Linked DNA regions of Saccharomyces cerevisiae S288C. The protein of the gene in region 3 binds, or shares a complex with, the protein of the main gene of each other region. Each region holds a gene or a part of one and is shown on either strand. Other genes may lie near its edges. The genes, in order: SNU13, HIT1 and RSA1. A codon is read from its position in the direction of its gene.

Region 1 (8,279 bases), on a different chromosome or scaffold from region 3:
AAGAACGGCCTTTATCAGCATCGTTATTTTCCTTTAAAACGTCATCAAAATTTGGGGTCCTGTACGTGGATTTGCTAGCCAGCAAAGATTGAGAAATCAGTCTTTTGGAAGTTAAAGACATTGGCTTGAAGCAGGTCTTGACAGATGATCTTATTCCTAACATGTTTGTTATTGCTCCTTTCGGTTTCCTAATAAGTGTTAGAGTGATATTATTTATGTTCAATAATTTCTTGGTTTTTAAAAGACGTTGAACTTGAAAGCAACAAAAAGTTACGACAGAGAAGTAATATATTACTTGATATTCAAGAACCAACTATAGTTCTTGCAGGTCTTTTTCCAGTCCTTATAAGGGAGCCTCCGCGTCGCCGCACGTGACCCAAGACCGATAAATGGCGCAAAACGCTGATTGGTCCGTTATGGAGTGTCTAAAAGGAAAAAGATGCGCTATGGACGAACCTGAAAGAGGCCAAATGATAGGGAAGCTTAGAGTGAAAGGTGGAACAGGAGAAGTTGAAAGGATGAAATACACAAGATGACAAGAAGGCTCGAATTAAAGGCGGCTAGTTATTTCAATTTAGGAAGCATTTGCTCTAAGAGTCGATGGGTCGTACTTCATGCACATTATATTACGCATGAATAGCCGCCCAAGCTATATGAACTTATTGGTGGATTTTTGAAACCAATAAAAAGGATTTATGAGAAAGAATAATCTTCCTCTGGGGTATTCATAGCTATCAACGTATGGTTACCTTGTCTTAGTCGGACACTGGACATAACTCTTACAATGGCTGTTAGCTTCTCAATTGACAATGGTATTTAATATACCAGGCGGTTAAAGAAAGGGTAGGTATTTTTTTCTACCTAGTTCAGTTTATATGGATGAGACAGGGATAGACGGGCATGTACGGAGTTTTTCGACTTGATCAGTGCAATCCACTGATTATCGTTTTATGTAGGTATTTTCTTGAGTTACAAAATTTTAGGGAAAGTATGGATACAACCAGAGAGCCGATGTGGTGTTTTTTTTGGTTTTTAGTACATGCAGTACGCTTCTTTTTCTATTTCCTGTATACTTCCTTTAAGCGTATTCGTCGTTATAGGTTCTATTTGCTTTCAACTGAACGCGCTTGCCTGAACGCCTAAAGCGGAAAGAAATACATGACTGAAAAACAGACATTCTGGTCGCAACTCAGCGAAAGGGAGGGTAGAAAAATATATTGTGTTATAATGTCAGCGTTAGCGCATTGCATATTGCACTAGCCATTGCCACGTAAAATGGCAAGACAAGATGAAACGGACTGCAAAAAATTGGATAGCAATTCGGCCTTTTTACCTTTATGCATAACATCTTATAGATCAAAAGATGAGGCTGAGAAGCTGGTAAGTTGTCTTCATCACGAAGGAAGTTACTTTTTATGTTTTAGCTATGGATTGTATACCGGAACGTCCAACGAATTGAAAGCGAAGGTTGAGTTCGCTTTAGATGGACCGTTCGTTGTTAACTACGCAACTGTACCGATGTTCATGTCAGCTTCCTTCTGTCACCTGCTAATGTTTAACGACGGTTCCATTAAGGGATTCAAATGCGAAAATAACAAATTTGAAATTATCTACGACTCTAATGTGGCTCCGAAACTGGATACTATTTCTTTATTAACTTCCAGCTGGTTAAATGCTTCCTTTGAGGGTGTTTTATACACTTGCAATAAAAACATATCATATGATAGTGATTTGCATACGTTATGTACGACAATTTACTCCTTTGACTTCAGAGAAGGAATAGTCGAAAGATTTTATGCCACCGATGGCGAAGAAATTATCTCCTTTGATTTTATTAGCAGGGAGGATTTGCTTGACGACGCCACATGCACAGGTAAATCACACGTTTATTTTCTTTGCCTACTTAAGAGTTGCTATAGTGAAAACCTGTTTTTAAAGGAATACAATCTTGCTGGAAAGCATGGAAGTAGGAAATTTGATTTAAACGAGTACCGCCAATACAATCTTTTGCCGATATGTGATAATGAATTTTGTTATATGAAGGTAGTTTGCGGCCATACCATTGTAGTGTTGACTACTAACTACACTCAAATAATAAATATAAAAGCAAGTGGGCTTACAAACGGGGCTTTTTTCAATAATAAAGGTCTCCCAAATGTAGAAAACTACCAATTTCTAAAAGATTCTTATGATGTGATATATGAAAGATCAGTCATTCTCTTGACAATTTCTGACGTGTATGCTAACAAATACACTGCCAAGATACACACTAGGTCGTTACATAGAGACCACGTCCTGAAAGAACTACAATGGACAAAAGAAAGAGTGTTCAAGCCTCCTAAACATGATCTATGCGATGTTATTTTGCAGCTCCCACGTGAAAAGTATATAGCGGTGACAAGAATAAATGGAGTAAATTTTATATCGAAAGATCATCGAGGTTCAAAATTAGAAAAGGTGAAAAGCGGTCCCGCTTATACAAACAAAGTTTACCTGGCATCACAAGTTATTGGAAACAAGGGGACAGATATTGATTCACTGCTTTTGGGTGGAAGTTTTAACTCAAGAAGAGGATTTTTAGAAAAGAAAATTTTGGTATATGACAAAACCCTGTTCAAGTTAGTGACTTCCTCCAAAGCGCTAGTAGAGAATGTAACTGATTTTTGGGTTACAGATTTAGCACTTAATGGTGGTGACGAATTTGCATATGAATCAGGTGGGTTGATTTATAAGAACGGAATATTTTTAATGGATGAGCCTTATGATTACGGTCTATTTGTTTCTAGGACGGGAAAAGTTTTGAAAGCCGGTATGGATGGTTCTACCGGAGAATTTAGGCAGGTCGATTTCTTGCAGTCGAACCACAACTCTTCCACCATGTTTTGTTATCCCGTACAGAACTCCAAGCTCAGGATTTCGATACTTGAGGCAAAATCTGGTTTTCTACGTAAAAAAGAAGAATTTTTTATCCATGGGCTCAATTCTAAAGAGAGTATTGTGAGCTGTTTCTCAGATGGTGCCGAGAAATACCTTTTTGTCATTTACTTGGACGGTGTGTTTTCGGTATGGAATGCCAATCAAAAGAAAGTGGCTACATCACATCCAGACTATTCTTTCATAGCCTATGATCAATTGATAAAAATATCTTGGCTAAGCAAAAAGCATAAACACGACTCGATTTATGTCATCGCATCATCATACACTGGCTGCGTAAGAGTCTACAAATCAGAATCAAATTTTTTGAGAGTGGATTTAGAGATTCATTCGTTATACGATCAGAAATTAGAACTGTTGGATACGATTCCTTCCTTACCTTTGGTTTTCCTTTACAACGATAAGGAAATAATTTTGTTAAATCTTCAAAACATGTCTTATGGTTGCATACAGTTAGGCTTAGTTCCAAGACGAATGAGAATTCGACCCGGTAAAGCACTGTTCTCTCTTTGTGTTTTAGATTATGATTCTCGAATAAGCATCTTTGAGTTTGGTAGCACGTTTTACCGTGAAGGTTTCACTAAGCAGATGACTTCATTAAAACCTCAATTAGAAAATCATATCTTTTACCTCCCTAGCATTCCCGTAGAGCTCTATACTGTTCCAAATAACCTCAATCAGGCCGTGGTGTGTTTGGTCGATAGCAATAGTAGGCAGTATAAGTTGATGCTATTCAATTATGCTTCAATGAAGGCAGTTTCCACATTCAGTTTCTCGGATGAAAAGTATTTACATGCCGTTGTGAAGCCACTGTGGCCAGAACAAAACTCAATCTACTTATCACAGAGACCCTTTTATGGTAATAAGTTTGTTGTATGCTTAGGAGTTGGTGAAAAACGTACAAAATTCTGGCTGTTTGAAATTAGAAACAATAACATTACCCAATTGTACGCGAATTATCTCGAAGATTGTATATTCTCGGTGTTCATATACTATGAGTGCAACTTGGTTTTATTTTCTGGTGATAGTGGCATAGCAGCATATAAAATAAACATGCTAAAAGAGGGCGCGGAAATTTTAGAGGCCTATTCCTTCCCAGCACTTTCATCGATTAACCATATAGGTCTTCCAGCTTATATGAGTGGTGATTATCTGGTTCAATTTGAGATCTTGAGAGATTTTTTGAGAACCCGCTTTCCAATTAGGACGTCCATAGTATATCCATCAGAGTACCCTGAATGTCCCTACTTGGGTTTTAAGCGGTTGGGAAGCATTACACAAGTGGCGACTAAAATAATTCCTAAGAAGCTAAGAGAACCTAAAAACGATTGTTTAGCGAGTGATAAGAACTATCTATTAGGTCGATTATCAGACCTTTCTTGTGCAACGTTGAAATATTCCAATAGATCTTATGTTGCCACCATTGGTATTGATAATACCTTGACAATATACGAAGATTCTAAATTATCAGTTGATAAGGGCGGGTTGGCTATGCCATACCTCAAAATTCGGTTACCTAATAAGATAATCTCACTGGCGGCCATCCCAGATGGATTTCAAAACCTTCAAATATGTCCAAATTTCAATAGTCAAAGGTTGGAAGGCGTCATACCTCTATTTTTACTTTGCGGTACTGAGGGCCAAATTTATATAATATCGGAATTCATTGGTGAGCTGTGGATGAGAACGTTGCATGATTACAAAAAGATCAAGCTCGAATGTAAAAGAGCTTTTCGAAGGTCTGAGAAAAGCATGCGAAATGTTACTAAACAATATTCCGTGAGTAAAGAGACTGGAATAAATGAAAGCGGCTTTGATGAGCTAGCTAGAAATTCAAAGAGAAGACATATAGATCATTCACCATACAAGACCATAGATTTTTTCGATCCTGTAAAACTAAAAAGGTGACAATAAATCTCCTACGAACGAATAGGTGCCATGAGATCTTGCACCTTTTTGTTATGCCTAAATTACTACAGCTCAATTGATAATACATGTTTGTGCATTTACAGATGCACTCGAGTAGGTTATTCAATGAAGATATGACATATATCATACCACTAACAAAACAGCACTATTAGCGTCTGCACTAGTGGAAAGCAAAAAACTTTTTTATAGTATATAGATGGTACAAAAACTATGTTGATAGATATAATCCAATCTACTTAAATTAATAAAGTTTCAATCTTGTCCTTGACAGCGTAGATTTGGGTCTTGATAGCAGAAGCATCGTTGGTGGTAATAGAAGCAGCAATAACTGGTCTAGAAACACCACAAGCTCTACCTAAAGCAACTCTAGATGGAACAAAGACATATGGAACATTCTTGTCTTCACATAGTAATGGTAAATGCAATAGGATTTCAATAGGTTCACAGTCAGCAGCCATAATGATGAATTCGGAGATACCACGGTTCAAAGTTTTGGTAGCTTCGTTGGCACCTTTCTTCAATTGTCTCAAGTTAGCAGCCTGTTGAACGACATCCAAGATTTGTTGGGTTAATGCAGCATCGGCTAATGGGAAAGCCTTTGGGTTTGGGGCAGACATTTTTAATATAGTTTTTATAGTATGAAATCTGGTTTATTCAAGTTCCTTGCAATAATCAGTATGGTCCTGGTATAGAAAGCTCGCTCGAATGATGATTTAAATTAAGATTTGAAAGTAGGACTTGAACACTAAGAGGAATAAGCACTATTAACCAGAATAATCAGTTTTAAAGTGAAAAATTTTCTAACTCATCTCATTCCAGCATTAGAAAAAAAAATTTTCTGAGAAAAAGGAAAAATGAAAAGAAAAAGAAAATAGAAATGAAAAATTTTTCTATATGCTGAATTTATTACCCGGATAAAACCGATAAGAAAAAGAAACGATACAATTGTCTACTTTAACAATAGAAGTTGATAAGGTTGGGCCTCTTTTAAGAGTACAGGTATAGTGATCTCATCGTACCCATTGTGTAGCTTAAAACGCATAATGCTCTTTGTTGCTCCTTGATATTCAAATTTTCTATTTTATACACATTAAAAATTAAGATATACATATTTAGCGTGTAATACTCTTTTAAACAATAATAATGGTACTAATAAAAAGGAAGCTTGAAATGAGGTAGTTTGGATATGAAGTAAGAATAGGGGCTATAAACAATCTCTAAGATGAAAAATTTTGATAGTTTTCATAGTTTCTCACAAAAAGATTCTTTTGTATACTCTATTCCTGCTTTAGTGATTCAGAAGCTGCCTTAACAGACAACATCTTGAGTAGCCCTGGAGTTCAACAACAAAGCAACAATCAAACCGTATAGACCCAAAACTTCAGCAAAAATCAAAATCAAAATCATACCGACGAATAATCTTGGTTGTTGAGAGGAACCTCTAACACCTGCATCACCGACAATACCAATAGCGAAACCAGCAGCTAGACCACTCAAACCGACTGATAGACCGGCACCCAATTGGATGAAACCGGTGTACAAAGCTTGCTTTTGACCCAACGAATAACAAACCAAAACGGAAACAACTAAACCGTAAATGGCAATGATACCAGCCATAATAACAGGAACAATGTTCTTGAATAATAGGTCTGGTCTCAACACACAAGTGGCACAGATACCAACACCAGACTTAGCAGTACCGTAAGCAGCACCTAATGAGGTGAAGATAATTGCAGAGGCACAACCAATGGCACCAAAGAAAGGGGCGTAGACAGGACACAATTCAGTCATTATATGTATATGTTTCTTTTGTTATTCTAATTGATTAGTCTTTTTGAGAAAAGCAATAAACACGATCTTCTCTTTCTTTTAAAAAGATTTTTATAAACAAGTTTTTAATCAGAACGAGTGTATAATTGTACAAAACTATCAAGGGTCAGTCAATCACTTAACCACTTTTTCTGTTTTTTTTTTTTTTTTTTTTTTAATGCGTTTCTTTTCCGGGTAATATCCCTTTATACGATTCAAATTTTTAGCAATGGAATAGGCCGTAGACGGCCGTAGACGGCCTATTTCATTGCTGATAAAGAATTCAGTTCCTCTATCTTTCCTAAGTTGAATATTGTGCAATAATAAATTCATTATTAAAGAAGATGTACAATTAATAATAAATAATTGCTGGGTGAATTTGTAAAAAAAGAAAACTGTAATATAGAATATATAAAATAAGTTGATAGAAATACCTAACTAAAACAATAACAATTATTAATAATAACGCAGAAGTTAAAGCTTATAGTCTATAGCTTAAATGATTGCGATCTGTGTTATTGTTGCGGGCAAAAAGAAATGAAAAATTAGCGCCGCTCGGTTTCGATCCGAGGACATCAGGGTTATGAGCCCTGCGCGCTTCCACTGCGCCACGGCGCTTAGCCAACTTGAAAGAACTGGATGTTAACTTTATTTATTAACACAATAACAAATTCTTCTATCTCTATCTCTCCATGTCGCTTATATTGAGGTCCGCCAACATATCACTTAATCTGTTACTTGTAGTGGCATGTTTATAATTACTATTTCTTAGCTCATTTCAGGTATTTTGCGGTTAATTATAAAAGTAACCGCATGTGTTCCACAGTTGTTGTCAGTTGATACTATTTTAGGTGGTTTATGCTGTTTCAACCACGACAACTTCATCCTCTCACTGGACATTTTTGAACACTAATTGAAGTTTCCAATACCACTCGTCTTTTAGGCAAAGGTATTTTTCAAATATAGTTATGAAGGCGTATATGATGGCATTTGGCTCATTTGGGCAGTACGACATTTGTTCATTTCCGGTAGAATCAATACCTACGTGTTAGTTTACCTTCCGATGGTGATTTCTCCCATGGATATTGCAGGAGTAACAGTCGGTTATGATTCACTAACTAACAGTTATATTTTGCTGGGATATTATTATATACGGCGTTAGAAGACATGAAATGATGAGAAGCAGTCATTAAATTTAGTGGAAGCCGAAATGTAAGGATTGATAACGCAGTAGGATAATGAACAATAAAACATAAAATGAAAGGAGAAGTGACGCTTTTAGAGCAGTAAATTATAACGTAGAGGACGAAGAAATGTGTGCATGGTTATGTAGATTGTTGATTCTCTTTTGCGAACTCCTGTGACCTAGTGGAGAATTTTAGCAACTCTGTAGGCCTAATAATGTTGTCTTCAATCAAAATGGGACTTGACAATTACTCCAATATCCATCTAACCTATATCGTTATCCTGTCATCATCTATGATATCGCTAGACGTTAGTAGTAAATTGCTTTCTTTACTGCGCATCGTCGAGATATTTGCACCATTCATGCATACATCTTTGTGTATAAAAGATGTTAATCAGAATTATCATACATGTACATAACG
Region 2 (8,469 bases), on a different chromosome or scaffold from region 3:
ATGAAAGGTAGATTAGAAGAGTTCCACATTTCTAATACGCACCGCTTCACCGACAAATCATTATCTAATTTATTGATCAACTGCGGTTCTACCTTGGTATCCTTAGGGTTATCCAGACTAGATTCTATATCAAATTACGCTTTATTACCGCAGTACCTAGTCAACGACGAATTTCACAGTCTCTGTATTGAATATCCATTCAATGAAGAGGATGTTAACGATGAGATCATCATAAATCTGCTAGGTCAAATCGGGCGCACGTTACGTAAATTGGTTTTGAATGGCTGTATTGACTTGACAGATTCAATGATAATCAATGGTCTGACTGCATTCATTCCTGAGAAATGTCCATTGGAGGTATTGAGCTTGGAAGAATCAGATCAGATCACTACAGATTCACTGTCGTACTTTTTCAGCAAAGTAGAACTGAATAATTTGATTGAATGCAGCTTTAGAAGATGTCTACAATTGGGCGATATGGCAATTATAGAGCTATTGCTTAACGGAGCAAGAGATAGTCTGAGAAGCTTAAATCTCAATTCATTAAAAGAGCTAACTAAGGAGGCATTTGTGGCGTTAGCCTGTCCTAATCTGACGTATCTTGATCTTGGTTTTGTACGTTGTGTTGATGACTCGGTGATTCAAATGTTGGGTGAGCAAAATCCGAATTTAACTGTAATTGATGTTTTCGGAGACAATTTGGTTACTGAAAAGGCCACAATGAGGCCTGGACTTACGTTGATAGGGAGACAGAGTGACAGTATATAATAAAATAAAGACATATAAAACGTGTATTAGATAGAAAACGGAAAATTGACTAATGTTTTTATTCCTATTATACTCAGATCGTCAAATGTTGCCTTTATTTTCTATTGAAGGGATTTTATGGCATCTCGCGAATAATAAACAAACAATAATAGTAAAAAAAAAAGTGTAAACTTATGTATTCAGCGCAGATAAAAGGAAAAAAACGAGAAGTTTGACGTAAAGAAAAAAGTTCGAAAACTTTTGTAGCAGTTGAAAGTTTTGTATGCTATGTCAATTAGGCCTCTCACGTTAAACGGTTTAGATGAGCCAGAAACCTCTTTTGAAGAACTGAATACAACTCTACCTCGCTTTCAATCCCATGAAACATTAACTTTGGAAGAAAACGTGCCACCATTGAGTACATCAACTTATATACCGCCTCCATCCTCGGTAGGTACTTCTGACACTGGCACGGTATTTTCCAATAGTACCAGCGCGTTTTGGTCTAATAAGCAAGCAGACGATGATCAGGACATGGAGGTAGACCAGGATGATGAATTTCTAAATGACTTCCAGGAATTCCAAAATAAAAAGGATGATTTTGACGATGCTATTAAAACAAATTTTCATTTGAGAAATGGATGTCGAACTGGCCCTTTCAAAAACGACATTTTCGCAGAAGAGTTTGATAGAAAACTGAGTTTGGAAGATAAACCAAGGCTAAAGCAACCTAGATCAATGATGGAATTGAAACCAAAAAGAAAACTATCAAATAGCGTCACTTCAAGAAACTTAAGGTCTGGTAATTCTGTAAGATTTAAGAAATCTATGCCTAACTTAGCTTTAGTTAATCCAGCTATCAGAGAAGAAGAAGAGGACGAAGAACGAGAAAGAGAAGATCAACGAGAGTTTAATTACAAGATTGATAACGATACGCAGGACACAATTTTGGCGAAATTCAGTTCAGATGATGAAGGTGACTTTCTGACAGGATTTGAAGAATTAGAGGGTGAAGCAATTGATGAAACGATTTCTTCGAACGATAAAGAAAGTGCCGACCATCCGCGTTTCTTAAAGAAGTCATCCTCATCTTTGCCATTAAAAATATCACCTGCACAATATGATATAGTAAAGCATGACGAATTATTAACTCCAGGTCTTCATAGGCGACAACGAGATTGGAATACCCAGCAGGAACTGGACTCTTTTAAAGAAAAACGATCAGTAAGACACTGTTCTAATCAAAATGTACAACTCAATGGTCCAGCTAAAATCAAAACAATAAAACAGCAAATTGATCATAATACTCCAATGAAGAAAGGTTCTATGATATATAACCCGAAAACTATGAAGTGGGAAGGAAATGAAAACGTCTTAAGCAAATTTAGTGATGTAGACACGGCAAACAGGAAAGCTTTATTGATAAAAAACAAGCTACAACGAGATGCAGATTCTAAGAAGCAAAAATATTCTGATCTACAGCATGCAAGAGCCACTTCGAGAAATCAAAAGGTCATCGGGAACATGATTTTAGATGAACAAAATTTAAGATGGGTTAGTGTTTCAGAGGAAGAAGCAGACCCTTTTGCAGGCATTCCTGAGATAAACTTACCACCAGTTGGCAAAAGTATGAAAAAACGTAGCTCCTCACCATTTTTGCGTTCCAAAAGCCAAGTTAATACGCCATTTGTTTCAAATGACAATGATGGCGTTTATCAAAGTACGGCTGCTCAAGCAAGACTCCGTAAATACCATTCAATGAGGACACTTAACGGTACAACAGAAACTCCAGAAATAAGCTCTACTTTCCATTTGAGTTCAAGAGCATTGGAAAAATTTTACCACGAGGAGAACAGGTGGTGTAAAAAGTTAGCCTCATGGTTTATACCCCGAGATGAGACCATTATCAGTGTTGATGAGGAAACAATCATGGATGAAAGTACGGTCAATAGCAAGAGAAAATCCTATATGTATGAAATCAGGAACATGGTAATCAATTCGACAAAAGATTAGCCCTTTAGCCTTCTTATAACTGTTTCTTTACCGTTATCTTGAGTACATTCATTTCTCTTACATTCCAAAATTAGATAGAACCTTGAATCGTGTCAACTTTTCGCCGACATTTCGCGTCTGACAGAAAAAGAAATGTTGCAGAAAATTCGAATAGATGTTTCAAATGAAAATAGACCATGAGGGACACATTAACATTTCAAACAAAAGAGCCCTTGATGATTATTAAAACAGATCTTTATGGTTTGTTTAGCAAACACTTTGGTAATTTCATGAATATTTGACTAGCAGGAACAGAAAATCAAAAATGTTTAACCATGATTGGAAGTACTCCATTAATTCTAAGACTTTCGCCGATTTAAACATTGAATTATTTCGAAACCACAAGTTCAAAACTGTTTTAAATTACATAATAGGTGTAGTTGGGTGGAATGGATTAAAACTCGCCCTTTTTGTTTCTGACATTTACACATGTATCAAATTGCTGGCATTCAACTCCTGGTCAAACAACATCATCAAACCATACTTACCCTTTAAAATATCCAAATGGTTGTTTAGCGGTTGTATTTTAGCATCGATTGTGCTATTGATATGGGAGGCTATAGCGGGAATGAGGATTTACAAAACGGGAAATATCTCTTTGACTTATGTCAACAATTTTTCCAGAAACCTAAATTCAGTGCTCAATTATTCCAAGTTTTGTGTTTATAATATGATCGAACGAAAGGGTTTTCGACAGAAAATGACATTTTTTACTTTTTTTCAACTGAAAGATTGTATTAGATTAATCTTCACGGATACCCCAAGGCAAGTTATTAATGGTCTTACGCTGTGGTCAGTTCTCGTAACAGTAAATAAAAACGAGGATCTAGGCGATCTGGAATCATTTACCGGTTTGATCAACAAAATAAAGAACATTGGCCAGACCAATCATGAAGAAGCAGTGATATTGTCGCTGATGCTATTTTCCTTTATAATCTGGGCATTATTTGTCTTCAAGTTTCTGCTTGCTGTCATTTGCTCGATTTTTGTTTATTATAAAATAATCAATGATCAGGAATATAGCGGGTTGCGTGAGTACATTTGTGTTACCGTCAGCGAAAATGTTGATGAACTTGTTGAAAGACAAAGGAAAAAGGAAAATGATGACACGATTTATAAGACAGGTCTTCTCGAATCTCAGACTTTTGACGATTTTAAAGAAGTTGAAAATAAAATTGAAACATCTTTTAATGATACGTCATATGCTTCTAATAATGATTCTATGATTGAGCTAATAGAGAGAAGACCCGAATACAAAAGTCAGGATGTATGTGGGCCCATTCCCACAATGAAGAAAACGGAAACAATGGAATCGTTCGTTGACAATGGCAATCCACAATATACCACTAGATTCTCTGCGATTCTAGATTCACCATATATCAACAGCTATGAAAGTAATGATATAAAGAAAGCAAAAATACAAAGCAGAAGCGTAAATACTCCAAAATATGAGGATTTGTCTTCTTCTGACATTTTCAACAAAATACACTCTGCTGGACAATTAAAATCTACAACTTCTATGGAGTTTCACGGGCCATTAGATTCTATGCCAAATACAACAAACAACATCCGTAATTTTAATAGCAACAGTAGTAGACCTAGACCACCTCCTTTACAGACAAAAAGTTCGATTAATTCAAAAGCTGACTCGAATGATAATGGAAGGATTTATACACCAATGAAAGCGTACTTCAGGGAGCCTGATCTTCCGAGGAAGGGTTTGCTGGAAGATGAAGATCGTACATATAATTATACTTAATAGGCTGGCAAAAGCCCTTTGCATATTTCATGAATTAGATAGACGTGATTAGAAACAGCCGTTAGTATGTTTCTGATAAAAATAATACTTTTTTTGTAACACTATTTTCATATATTGGATTGATACCGGTTATAGCACAAACATAACAGCCATGAAAGTTTCTTTGAAAACCCCTTTTAACATTTGCTTGTAAGAGATAGGTTAATTTTTTATAGTTGCTGAGATTCCATTGTTGGTAAAGACTTAATATTAGGTATACAGAATATACTAGGAGTTCTCTCTGGGTATGTAGGAATCCACAAAAGGGTGTCACTAGTTCAACATAATAACATCTTTTTTTTATTCCTTCTTTGATATTTTGTCATATTATCCTATTATTTTATCAATCCTTGCATTTCAGCTTCCAATAGATTTGATATTTGTTTCTCAATATTATGTCATCTTCATACACAGTATGTGATAATATACTAGTAACATGAATACTACTAAATGAGTACTACCTTAGGGGTTCATTACAGCAGCTTAAGCGAAAGTAGAAAATGAGGCGGATATTTGTTGGAATAAAAATCAACTATCATCTACTAACTAGTATTTACGTTACTAGTATATTATCATATACGGTGTTAGAAGATGACGCAAATGATGAGAAATAGTCATCTAAATTAGTGGAAGCTGAAACGCAAGGATTGATAATGTAATAGGATCAATGAATATTAACATATAAAATGATGATAATAATATTTATAGAATTGTGTAGAATTGCAGATTCCCTTTTATGGATTCCTAAATCCTCGAGGAGAACTTCTAGTATATCTACATACCTAATATTATTGCCTTATTAAAAATGGAATCCCAACAATTACATCAAAATCCACATTCTCTACAATATTGATTTCCATCGTGTAAGTTTTCTGCACGAAGTTTATTCATTCAATTTGAAGTGCTTCGTAATAATATTACTATGCAACTTAGGTACCTCATATTTCTTAGAGTTCAACCAAGTTGGTTCCGTTGGCGTAATGGTAACGCGTCTCCCTCCTAAGGAGAAGACTGCGGGTTCGAGTCCCGTACGGAACGTTGATTATTTTTTTTTTTTCGTTTCTTTATAGAAAAAATTCAGACGATATTACCTTGCGATGAGATAATCTTACCGCAGAAAGAGTGCCACAGTGGTAATAACTAGTTGAAGGTTCATATTATATAAAAAACTCTAAGAATAAAAATGGTATCTAGTGCAGTTAAATGTGGCATATGTCGCGGAGTTGATGGTAAATATAAATGTCCTAAATGTGGCGTACGATATTGCTCCTTGAAATGCTATAAAGATGCTGCAAAGCATGTTCATAAGGAAAGCGAACAACCCAGGGCTGGTACAGAAGCTAATGTGGAAGTTGTTAATAACGATAAGATCATAAACAGTTCACTCGCAATGAATAAAACATTAAAGACGAAGGCATTCGATGATATATATCAAAATAGCGCAGAATTGCAAGAGCTGTTGAAATACAACACGGTGAAGTTCCATTTGGCAAAGGTTTATAGAATTTTGTCCAGTACTGTTAACGATGGAAGTTCTGGAAAAATGAACAGCGATCTACAAAAAGAACTAGCTGTAAATTATTTGAATACATTACGATATGGTGGTATACATTATAATGAAGCAATTGAGGAATTTTGCCAGATTTTATTAGATAAATTAAATGCGGTGAAGAAATAAGAATTATCGTTGTTAGCATGATTTTTAAGATTGAGCATTTTATTCATTTTTAACCATATAATAGTGAAGGTGAGGACTAATAACAAAGTACTTGTTGAAAGGGTCGGGTTGCTTTTAGGTTTTTTCTTCTCGTTAAGGATTTCCCACTTGTCTGGCAAGGCGTCAAGCAGACTTGGAAAATAATGATATTATGTCAGAATTTTTGTGTGAGGCGCTTCTATTGCAAGTTTGTGACACCTTATAATAAAAGTGAACCATGTATTTACATATGATTAGGGAAAGTTCCACCATCATCTTATGATCTTCATGGCCGTTTTGGTCTTCTTTTTAACTTGAAGTCCAACTTGGCGACTGTACATATATACATATATATAGCAATAAGTATAACAAGGCAACAAATCAGGTCCCATTATTTAATTTGAAGTCATCTACTGCCCCATAAGAACCTCTATATTATCAGTAGATTCTTTCTTTTAGGGAAATCGAACCTCGATATTGTAAGAGAAACCCGCGCCACTCCTAAAAAGGTATTTTGAAGGAGAGGATGATTTGGAGCAACATTTGGTACACTTTATCCTCAGTTTTTCGCTAACTACCTCGCAACTTGTTGTTGTGGATGAAATTTTTGATATTAATTTCAATAAATAAAATATATGCAAATATCATTATAATTTGTCAAGTGCGGGAAATAGACTATGCAGTGATTTAGTGTGCAAGTTTGCCCACTTCACATTCATACCAAATATTTCTTCCCACTCATTTTTATCGTATTAGCACTACATACGTGACTTTTTAGCTCAGCTTTCGGACTGGATAGCTTTACTGACTTACTTTCTACAAGCGATATCATTCGTCACAGTACTCCAAAGAAGTCTGGGCATTTAATTTTCTTCTTTATCAAGTCCGCCATTATGAAGGAATGTATTGGGTAATAGTTGACATACCGATGTTCTGCTGGTAGCATCGATGAACGAAAATAGGTAACGGCTTGCCGCTGAAGATATTGGAAATGAGACAGATCATTCTAGGGTAAAATGCGCTGTAGAGCTAGCGTCAATTGCGATTTTCGAACACTGGCTGCAGGTATTTCTGTTTTCTCGGCTTTCATTATAGTAATGTGAAGCTACTAGGAGAATCACGAAACATCTTTTTAGTAGGATGAGAACACCACGCTCTCCTAACTGGAAGTAATTTTTGGTATGCTTAGAGATCTGTTCCTCTCTTATGACTTCTTTTTCGCCTACTATAAACTTAATATCAACATATTTAGTTAGTTTTTTCAGAGCAATACGTGTTTATTTTTTCACAACTTCGCATGGCATTATGTATCATTGCAGCGTAAATTTTTACATTTAGTAATATCTAATAACATATACACAAAAAAGGGACAGATTTTTGAATTAAATAAACCAAGCGTAAATCAGTATTGCTCTTACCGCAGTAGGGGGAGTTATCTACTCCTGCTTAACGTAGAGAAACAATAGTAAAAGTTATGCTTGTGTTGGAATAAAAATCAACTATCGGCTGGCAACTAATAGGGACACTACCAATATATTATCATATACGGTGTTAGACGATGACATAAGATACGAGGAACTGTCATCGAAGTTAGAGGAAGCTGAAATGCAAGGATTGATAATGTAATAGGATAATGAAACATATAAAACGGAATGAGGAATAATCGTAATATTAGTATATAGAGATAAAGATTCCATTTTGAGGATTCCTATATCCTCGAGGAGAACTTCTAGTATATTCTGTATACCTGATATTATAGCCTTTACCAACAATAGAATCCCACCAATTATCTCAAAATTCACCAGTATCTTAAAGAGAATGTGGATTTTGATGTAATTGTTGGGATTCCATTGTGATTAAGGCTATAATATTAGGTATGTAGAAAGTACTAGAAGTTCTCCTCCAGGATTTAGGAATCCATAAAAGGGAATCTGCAATTCTACACAATTCTATAAATATTATTATCATCATTTTATATGTTAATATTCATTGATCCTATTACATTATCAATCCTTGCGTTTCAGCTTCCACTAATTTAGATGACTATTTCTCATCATTTGCGTCATCTTCTAACACCGTATATGATAATATACTAGTAACGTAAATACTAGTTAGTAGATGATAGTTGATTTTTATTCCAACATATCTCAACATTAATTACTCGGAACTTTTTTTT
Region 3 (6,418 bases):
TTTAAGTGGTCTTTCCACTATAATTACACCCTCATTAGCAAGAGATATAGCTGATGATTTGTTCACTATGCTAAACAGCACAAGACCGTACATAAGAAAGAAGGCCATTACCGCACTATTTAAAGTTTTTCTGCAATATCCAGAGGCTTTGAGAGATAATTTTGATAAGTTTGTTTCAAAGCTAGACGATGATGATATATCTGTGGTTTCTGCCGCTGTCAGTGTTATTTGCGAGCTATCAAAAAAAAACCCCCAACCATTCATCCAGCTTTCACCTTTATTATACGAGATATTAGTTACCATTGACAATAACTGGATAATCATTAGATTATTGAAGTTATTCACCAACTTATCACAAGTGGAACCGAAATTGAGAGCCAAGTTATTGCCGAAAATTTTAGAACTGATGGAGAGTACTGTTGCAACTTCTGTGATCTATGAATCTGTCAACTGTATTGTCAAGGGGAATATGCTAGAAGAAGATGATTTTGAAACAGCAATGGCATGCCTGGAAAGATTGCACACATTTTGTGATTCTCAGGATCCAAATTTGAGATATATTAGCTGCATATTGTTTTACAAGATCGGCAAAATCAATACTGATTTTATTTCTCGGTTCGACCAACTGATTATACGCTTACTCTCCGATGTCGACGTTTCTATAAGATCAAAAGCAATTGAATTGGTTGAAGGTATTGTTGATGAGGATAACTTAAAGGCAATTGTCCAAACATTGATGAAGCAATTTGTAGATGAAGATGTGGTTATCCTACAAACTGGAAGCATCGTATACGAAAAATCAAAGAGAATTCCCATAATAATTCCAGAAAATTACAAGATAAAAATGGTGAACGTCATTATATCGATTTGTTCAGCTGACAACTATTCCAGTGTTAACGACTTTGAATGGTACAATGCAGTAATAATGGACTTGGCGATGCTCTGTCAAGACATATCTGATAAAAGCCTTGGATCAAAAATTGGTGAACAGTTTAGGAATTTGATGATAAAAGTTCCTTCAATGAGAGAAGTAACCATTGCTAATATTATAAAGCTTATTTCAAATGACAATATTAACAAACAGTTGCCTACCGTATTGAGAGAATGCATTTGGTGTCTCGGAGAATTTTCTACCCTAGTTGAAAATGGTAACGACTTAATAAAAATCATGACTGAGAATATCAGTTATTATTCTCATAGTGTACAAGAAGTTTTAATTTTAGCACTTGTTAAAGTATTTAGTAATTGGTGTAATAACTTTCAGGAGGATAAACGCTTTGAAATTAAAATGGTGTTAAAAGAGCTAATTGAATTTTTTGAAAATTTATCTTATTCGAGTACATTCGAAGTCCAGGAAAGAAGCGTAGAAGTTTTAGAATTTTTAAGACTAAGTTTGGAGGCTTTAGAGGAGGATACGGAAGGTCTACCAATGCTACTGAGCGAAGTCCTGCCTAGTTTTTTTAACGCCTATGAACTCGCACCAATTGCGCGTGGGACTCAATTGAAGTTAGCAGTAGATGAGAATCTTGATCTAGAAACTCCATTTTTGACAAAGGAGGCAGCTGATGAACTCTTAGATGAACAAAAAAGTGACGCCATCAGTGATTTAATGTCTGATATCTCAATGGACGAGCAAGTTGAACTAAAATTCGTTGATGATTCTGATACTTCGTATGAAGAAAAGGAAAAATTGGATGATTTTGAAAATCCATTTGAGATTGAGAGAGAAAAGGAACGGATGTCAAATCCTTATTATCTAGGTGAAGAAGACGAAGAAAGAACTAAGAACTCTAAAGATTTGTTGGACTTGAATGAGGAGGAAAGTAGTGATAAAAAGCCAGAAACTATTAGATTAAATAGAACCGATAATTCGTTGAATTCTCTAAGTTTATCTACAACTGAAATCAGCAGAAAGAAGAAGAAGGGAAAGAAGAAAAATAGGGTTCAAGTCTTATCCGATGAACCTGTTATCGAAGCCGCTCCCAAAAGGAAAGATGCATTCCAGAAACCCCATGATAATCATTCAACTCAAAATCCTTTGAAAAAGGACAAGATTAATCTGAGAATGCACTCTCAACTTGAAAATTTTGATTTTTCCAATTTTGGGCAATCGAGTAACGCAGGAAGAGGATCGCAGGAAGAGGGCAACCTTAGAAAGGAAGACGAGTTAGAATTAAGTCGTTTAGAGGCCAATCTTATTGTAAAAGATGAAAAGGATAATTTAAGTGATACTGAAGAAGTTATAGTTATAAAAAAGAAGAAGAAAGGGAAAAAGTCAAAGTCAAAAAACAAACTAAAAACGAAAGCAAAAAATTCTCCAGAACCAAATGAATTTCTTCGAGACCAAAGCACTGACATTTAACGATAAAAAAATCGAAGTCGTGAATTCTCAATGACAGCGATTACGTACGTAAACTATAATTAATTTAAGTATTTTATTCTGCATAGTATATTATTGCGGTGCACTCAATTTGCCGAAAGAGACGGCATATTTAATAATGACGCGAATGAATCAAAGGCCGCCAAAGGTAATCATAGACCAGAGATGATTTGCAAAATTATTTGACATACTATTGCTAGTGTAACAATAACACAGCATAACTTTGCTTAGACATATATGTCATTTAAGGCAACTATCACCGAGTCGGGGAAGCAGAATATCTGGTTTCGTGCGATATATGTGTTATCTACAATTCAGGATGATATCAAGATTACAGTGACAACAAATGAGTTAATTGCTTGGTCAATGAACGAGACAGATACTACTCTTTGTCAGGTTAGGTTTCAGAAAAGCTTTTTTGAGGAGTATGAGTTTAAACCACATGAGATTGTATTTGGAGAAAATGGGGTTCAAGTTATAGAAGATACGTACGGCAATAGTCATAAGTTATACTCCTTCCGTGTTAATGGAAGACACCTAACAACTATATCAAGAAAGCCGGATGGTGATGGCATCAAATCATTCACAATTGCGGTAAACAACACTTCTACCTGTCCTGAATCACTTGCAAATAGATTGATTGTGGTGATTGAAATGGATTCGTTAATAGTCAAAGAATACTGTCCCCAATTCCAGCCAATAAAATACGATCCCATAATAATCAACCTTAAGTACAAAAGGAGGTTTTTGGATGTTTTTGGAACTGCTGCCTCCGATCGGAATCCACAGGAGCCCTTGGACCCTAAGCTATTGGACGTTTTTACAAATACAGAGCGTGAGCTAACATCAGCCTTATTTAACGAAGAAGTGGAATCAGACATACGTAAAAGGAATCAGTTAACGGCTGCTGATGAGATTAATTACATTTGTTGTAATTCAACTTTATTGAAGAATTTTTTAGACAACTGCAATGTTAATGTAACCGATGAAGTAAAATTGGAAATTAACGTACATAGGCTAAGCATAACTGCATTCACCAAGGCCGTCTACGGCAAAAATAACGACCTTTTAAGAAATGCGTTAAGCATGAGTAACACTATCAGTACGCTCGATCTTGAGCATTATTGCTTATTTACAACAATCGAAGATGAAAAACAAGATAAGCGATCACATAGTAAGCGTAGAGAGCATATGAAAAGTATAATATTCAAATTGAAGGACTTCAAAAACTTCATAACGATAGGTCCATCCTGGAAGACTACCCAGGACGGAAATGATAATATAAGTTTATGGTTTTGCCACCCAGGGGACCCTATTCTTATGCAAATGCAAAAACCGGGCGTAAAATTAGAATTGGTTGAAGTTACTGACAGTAACATTAACGATGATATTTTAGAAGGAAAATTCATAAAAACAGCAATCTCTGGCTCCAAAGAAGAGGCCGGACTGAAAGACAACAAAGAAAGCTGCGAAAGTCCATTAAAAAGCAAAACTGCTTTAAAGAGAGAAAACCTGCCACACTCTGTGGCTGGAACTCGAAACAGTCCTTTGAAAGTGTCGTATCTGACCCCTGATAATGGAAGCACAGTTGCTAAGACCTATAGAAATAACACGGCAAGAAAATTATTCGTGGAAGAACAAAGCCAAAGTACGAATTACGAACAAGATAAGCGGTTCCGGCAGGCTAGTTCAGTTCATATGAACATGAATCGGGAACAAAGTTTTGACATTGGTACGACTCATGAAGTGGCCTGTCCACGTAATGAGAGCAATTCTTTAAAAAGATCCATAGCAGATATTTGTAATGAAACTGAAGACCCCACCCAACAATCTACATTTGCAAAAAGGGCAGACACCACTGTGACATGGGGAAAAGCGTTACCAGCTGCAGATGATGAGGTTTCATGCAGCAATATCGATAGAAAAGGAATGCTCAAGAAAGAAAAATTGAAGCATATGCAAGGTCTGTTGAATTCCCAGAATGACACAAGTAATCACAAGAAACAGGACAATAAAGAGATGGAAGATGGGCTGGGTCTAACACAAGTAGAAAAGCCAAGGGGTATATTTGACTAAAACCATAATGCAAAATCAGTATAAAGGCGTGTAAATATTAGATGAAGTAGCAATTATCATGATAATATCGATCGCTGTTTTTTTTTTTTTTTCTGTCTCAATTTGGTGAGCGTGCGGCTGATGGTCCATCACGGTCGGGGAACAAACTAAAATTTTCAATAGCATAATATCTCTATATTGCATAGCTTTTTACTTAATAGGAACTTAAAAATTTCATTGATGCTATTATATTTAACTCATAAGTCAATCTCTTTTTCCATTTTGATTAGCTTATTGCGACATGGACTATGAATTATAATAACTTTGAAAATTCGAAGGGTGATGGACATTCTAGGCTTCCCAAACCTACATACTCCGGAACGCTATCAGATGGCTATGATGAATCGAAAATTAAAAGGCAAAAAACAGACTCTGCTTTTAATGCAGCTTACTCACCTCATATGTATCCGAACTCTCCGTATTATGAAGGTTCATGGAATACCGGTTATACTCCTCAACTTCATCATGTAGCCCCTCATAATCAATATTTCCATCCAATACAACCGTCCACTCAGTACAATTATACGAGTCCTCCCAATTATACAGAAAATTACATACCGCCAGTTCATCAGAATATATCTTATGCACCAGCGCTTAATTTACAGAAGTGGCCATCATCATATTGTGAAAACACTCAAGCCTTAAAGAATGATAAAGATTACCAAACATCAATTAGTTATGAAGATGTTGCAATACCGACCGTAAAGGAAATACAATTGATTGAGAAAAACAGAGGGAAAGATACGTTTATGAATGAAATAAGTCCAGTACCATCAAGCAAGGATCAAGCATCTGCGGAGCCTACAGAAATCCCAAGAAAGGATCCCGAGCTGGCAAATTCTAATGCCGAAGATGATCATAATAACTTAGGGCTAGAAGATGATGATCGTGATGAGCAGTTAGAATCAGAGGGGTTGGGTAAGGTGGTTTTGGTTCCTGGAACCTCCATAGCATTGATTACTGATGAAGATGTTAAAAAGTGGAGAGAAGAAAGAAAAAAAATGTGGCTACTGAAAATATCCAATAACAAACAGAAACATATGCAAGAAATGGGCATAAAGGAAGATGAACTGAAGAGCCAACCTAGCATTTTCAAAGAGTCAAGGAAAGAAAAGCAATTTATACAGAGTATTCAAAATCAAGTGCAGAGAGGAAATCCGAAGATTGACTTGAACTTGAAATTGATACAGCGAGAATTCGCAAACGAAAACTCCCAACTTTTGGACTTTATAAGAGAATTGGGAGATGTAGGATTACTTGAATATGAGCTATCTCAACAAGAAAAAGATGTACTTTTTGGGAGCTCTGAAGATAATAATAAAAATCATTACAAACCAAATTACAAAAACAGGAAACCTAATCTGAGTAGAGCCAACTTTACTAGAAATAAGTAATAGAATAGCAAATATTGATATACATGGAAGAGTACATGCAAAGGTGCGTAAAAAAAAATAAGTCAGATAAAACTAATTACTGTTTAGAAATCATGAGTATATGAAACTAATTTTGAAGAGCTTTAACTGCTAGGTTACTTAAAACAGTAGTTACAGCAGCACCAAGGAACGAACCGAAAATGGCACCTTGGTAAAATGAACCCTTATTCTCTCTCTGTACTTTACTTTCAGAAGCGTCTTTTTTCTTACTTTTCGTTCGTGATTTTGTGGAAGATGTTGTCGTTTTGTGCTTCCTGACTCTACCAGGCGACACAGCCTTCTTAATGTGTTGTTCATTATTAACTAATGACTTTTTATTAAGCGGTCCACCGTTTTTGGCTTTATTTATAACGAACCCATCAGCAGAGTTTGAACTTGCATCTGTCAGTTTATGCACTCTAAGTTTTTCTTGGTCGTTGTTTTTCTTCAGTGTAATCAATGCAGCGTTGTCTTCTTTCATTGCTGTCATTTTTTGGAGAAGTATTTATAT

The links.
Region 1: the proteins of RSA1 (region 3) and SNU13 are in contact, whole or in part, in a crystal structure (PDB 4NUT), measured with the Saccharomyces cerevisiae proteins. Residues at the interface, in NP_015131.1 of Saccharomyces cerevisiae: Val242 (codon at 5,467), Trp245 (codon at 5,476), Arg246 (codon at 5,479), Arg249 (codon at 5,488), Lys250 (codon at 5,491), Met252 (codon at 5,497), Trp253 (codon at 5,500), Leu254 (codon at 5,503), Lys256 (codon at 5,509), Ile257 (codon at 5,512), Ser258 (codon at 5,515), Asn259 (codon at 5,518), Asn260 (codon at 5,521), Lys261 (codon at 5,524), His264 (codon at 5,533); in NP_010888.1 of Saccharomyces cerevisiae: Pro6 (codon at 5,465), Lys7 (codon at 5,462), Phe9 (codon at 5,456), Pro10 (codon at 5,453), Leu65 (codon at 5,288), Pro68 (codon at 5,279), Leu69 (codon at 5,276), Cys71 (codon at 5,270), Glu72 (codon at 5,267), Asp73 (codon at 5,264), Asn75 (codon at 5,258), Val76 (codon at 5,255), Pro77 (codon at 5,252), Tyr78 (codon at 5,249), Tyr115 (codon at 5,138), Lys118 (codon at 5,129), Asp119 (codon at 5,126), Ile121 (codon at 5,120), Glu122 (codon at 5,117), Leu125 (codon at 5,108).
Region 2: the proteins of RSA1 (region 3) and HIT1 are in contact, whole or in part, in an NMR structure (PDB 2MJF), measured with the Saccharomyces cerevisiae proteins. Residues at the interface, in NP_015131.1 of Saccharomyces cerevisiae: Glu320 (codon at 5,701), Asn321 (codon at 5,704), Ser322 (codon at 5,707), Gln323 (codon at 5,710), Leu324 (codon at 5,713), Leu325 (codon at 5,716), Asp326 (codon at 5,719), Phe327 (codon at 5,722), Ile328 (codon at 5,725), Arg329 (codon at 5,728), Glu330 (codon at 5,731), Leu331 (codon at 5,734), Gly332 (codon at 5,737), Asp333 (codon at 5,740), Val334 (codon at 5,743), Gly335 (codon at 5,746), Leu336 (codon at 5,749), Leu337 (codon at 5,752), Glu338 (codon at 5,755), Tyr339 (codon at 5,758), Glu340 (codon at 5,761), Leu341 (codon at 5,764), Glu345 (codon at 5,776), Leu349 (codon at 5,788), Phe350 (codon at 5,791); in NP_012589.1 of Saccharomyces cerevisiae: Asn71 (codon at 5,991), Lys72 (codon at 5,994), Thr73 (codon at 5,997), Leu74 (codon at 6,000), Lys75 (codon at 6,003), Thr76 (codon at 6,006), Phe79 (codon at 6,015), Tyr83 (codon at 6,027), Leu89 (codon at 6,045), Leu93 (codon at 6,057), Asn96 (codon at 6,066), Thr97 (codon at 6,069), Lys99 (codon at 6,075), Phe100 (codon at 6,078), His101 (codon at 6,081), Leu102 (codon at 6,084), Ala103 (codon at 6,087), Val105 (codon at 6,093), Tyr106 (codon at 6,096), Leu109 (codon at 6,105), Asp124 (codon at 6,150), Lys127 (codon at 6,159), Glu128 (codon at 6,162), Ala130 (codon at 6,168), Val131 (codon at 6,171), Leu134 (codon at 6,180), Asn135 (codon at 6,183), Arg138 (codon at 6,192), Phe151 (codon at 6,231), Cys152 (codon at 6,234).

What each region holds. Positions count from the first base shown.
Region 1 is NC_001137.3:99,144-107,422, reverse strand, and holds SNU13 (RNA binding protein SNU13), read right to left. Parts: upstream 5,481-8,279; coding exon 5,100-5,480; downstream 1-5,099. Other genes in the region: ubiquinol--cytochrome-c reductase catalytic subunit RIP1, read right to left, coding at 1-163; YEL025C (uncharacterized protein), read left to right, coding at 1,276-4,842; VMA3 (H(+)-transporting V0 sector ATPase subunit c), read right to left, coding at 6,172-6,654. UniProt on the Saccharomyces cerevisiae protein: Common component of the spliceosome and rRNA processing machinery. In association with the spliceosomal U4/U6.U5 tri-snRNP particle, required for splicing of pre-mRNA.
Region 2 is NC_001142.9:532,992-541,460, forward strand, and holds HIT1 (Hit1p), read left to right. Parts: upstream 1-5,780; coding exon 5,781-6,275; downstream 6,276-8,469. Other genes in the region: UV-damaged DNA-binding protein RAD7, read left to right, coding at 1-768; BFA1 (Bfa1p), read left to right, coding at 1,036-2,760; KCH1 (Kch1p), read left to right, coding at 3,065-4,558.
Region 3 is NC_001148.4:176,660-183,077, forward strand, and holds RSA1 (Rsa1p), read left to right. Parts: upstream 1-4,743; coding exon 4,744-5,889; downstream 5,890-6,418. Other genes in the region: APL5 (Apl5p), read left to right, coding at 1-2,362; DDC1 (Ddc1p), read left to right, coding at 2,618-4,456; pheromone-regulated protein PRM3, read right to left, coding at 5,996-6,397. UniProt on the Saccharomyces cerevisiae protein: Involved in a late nucleoplasmic step of 60S ribosomal subunit assembly.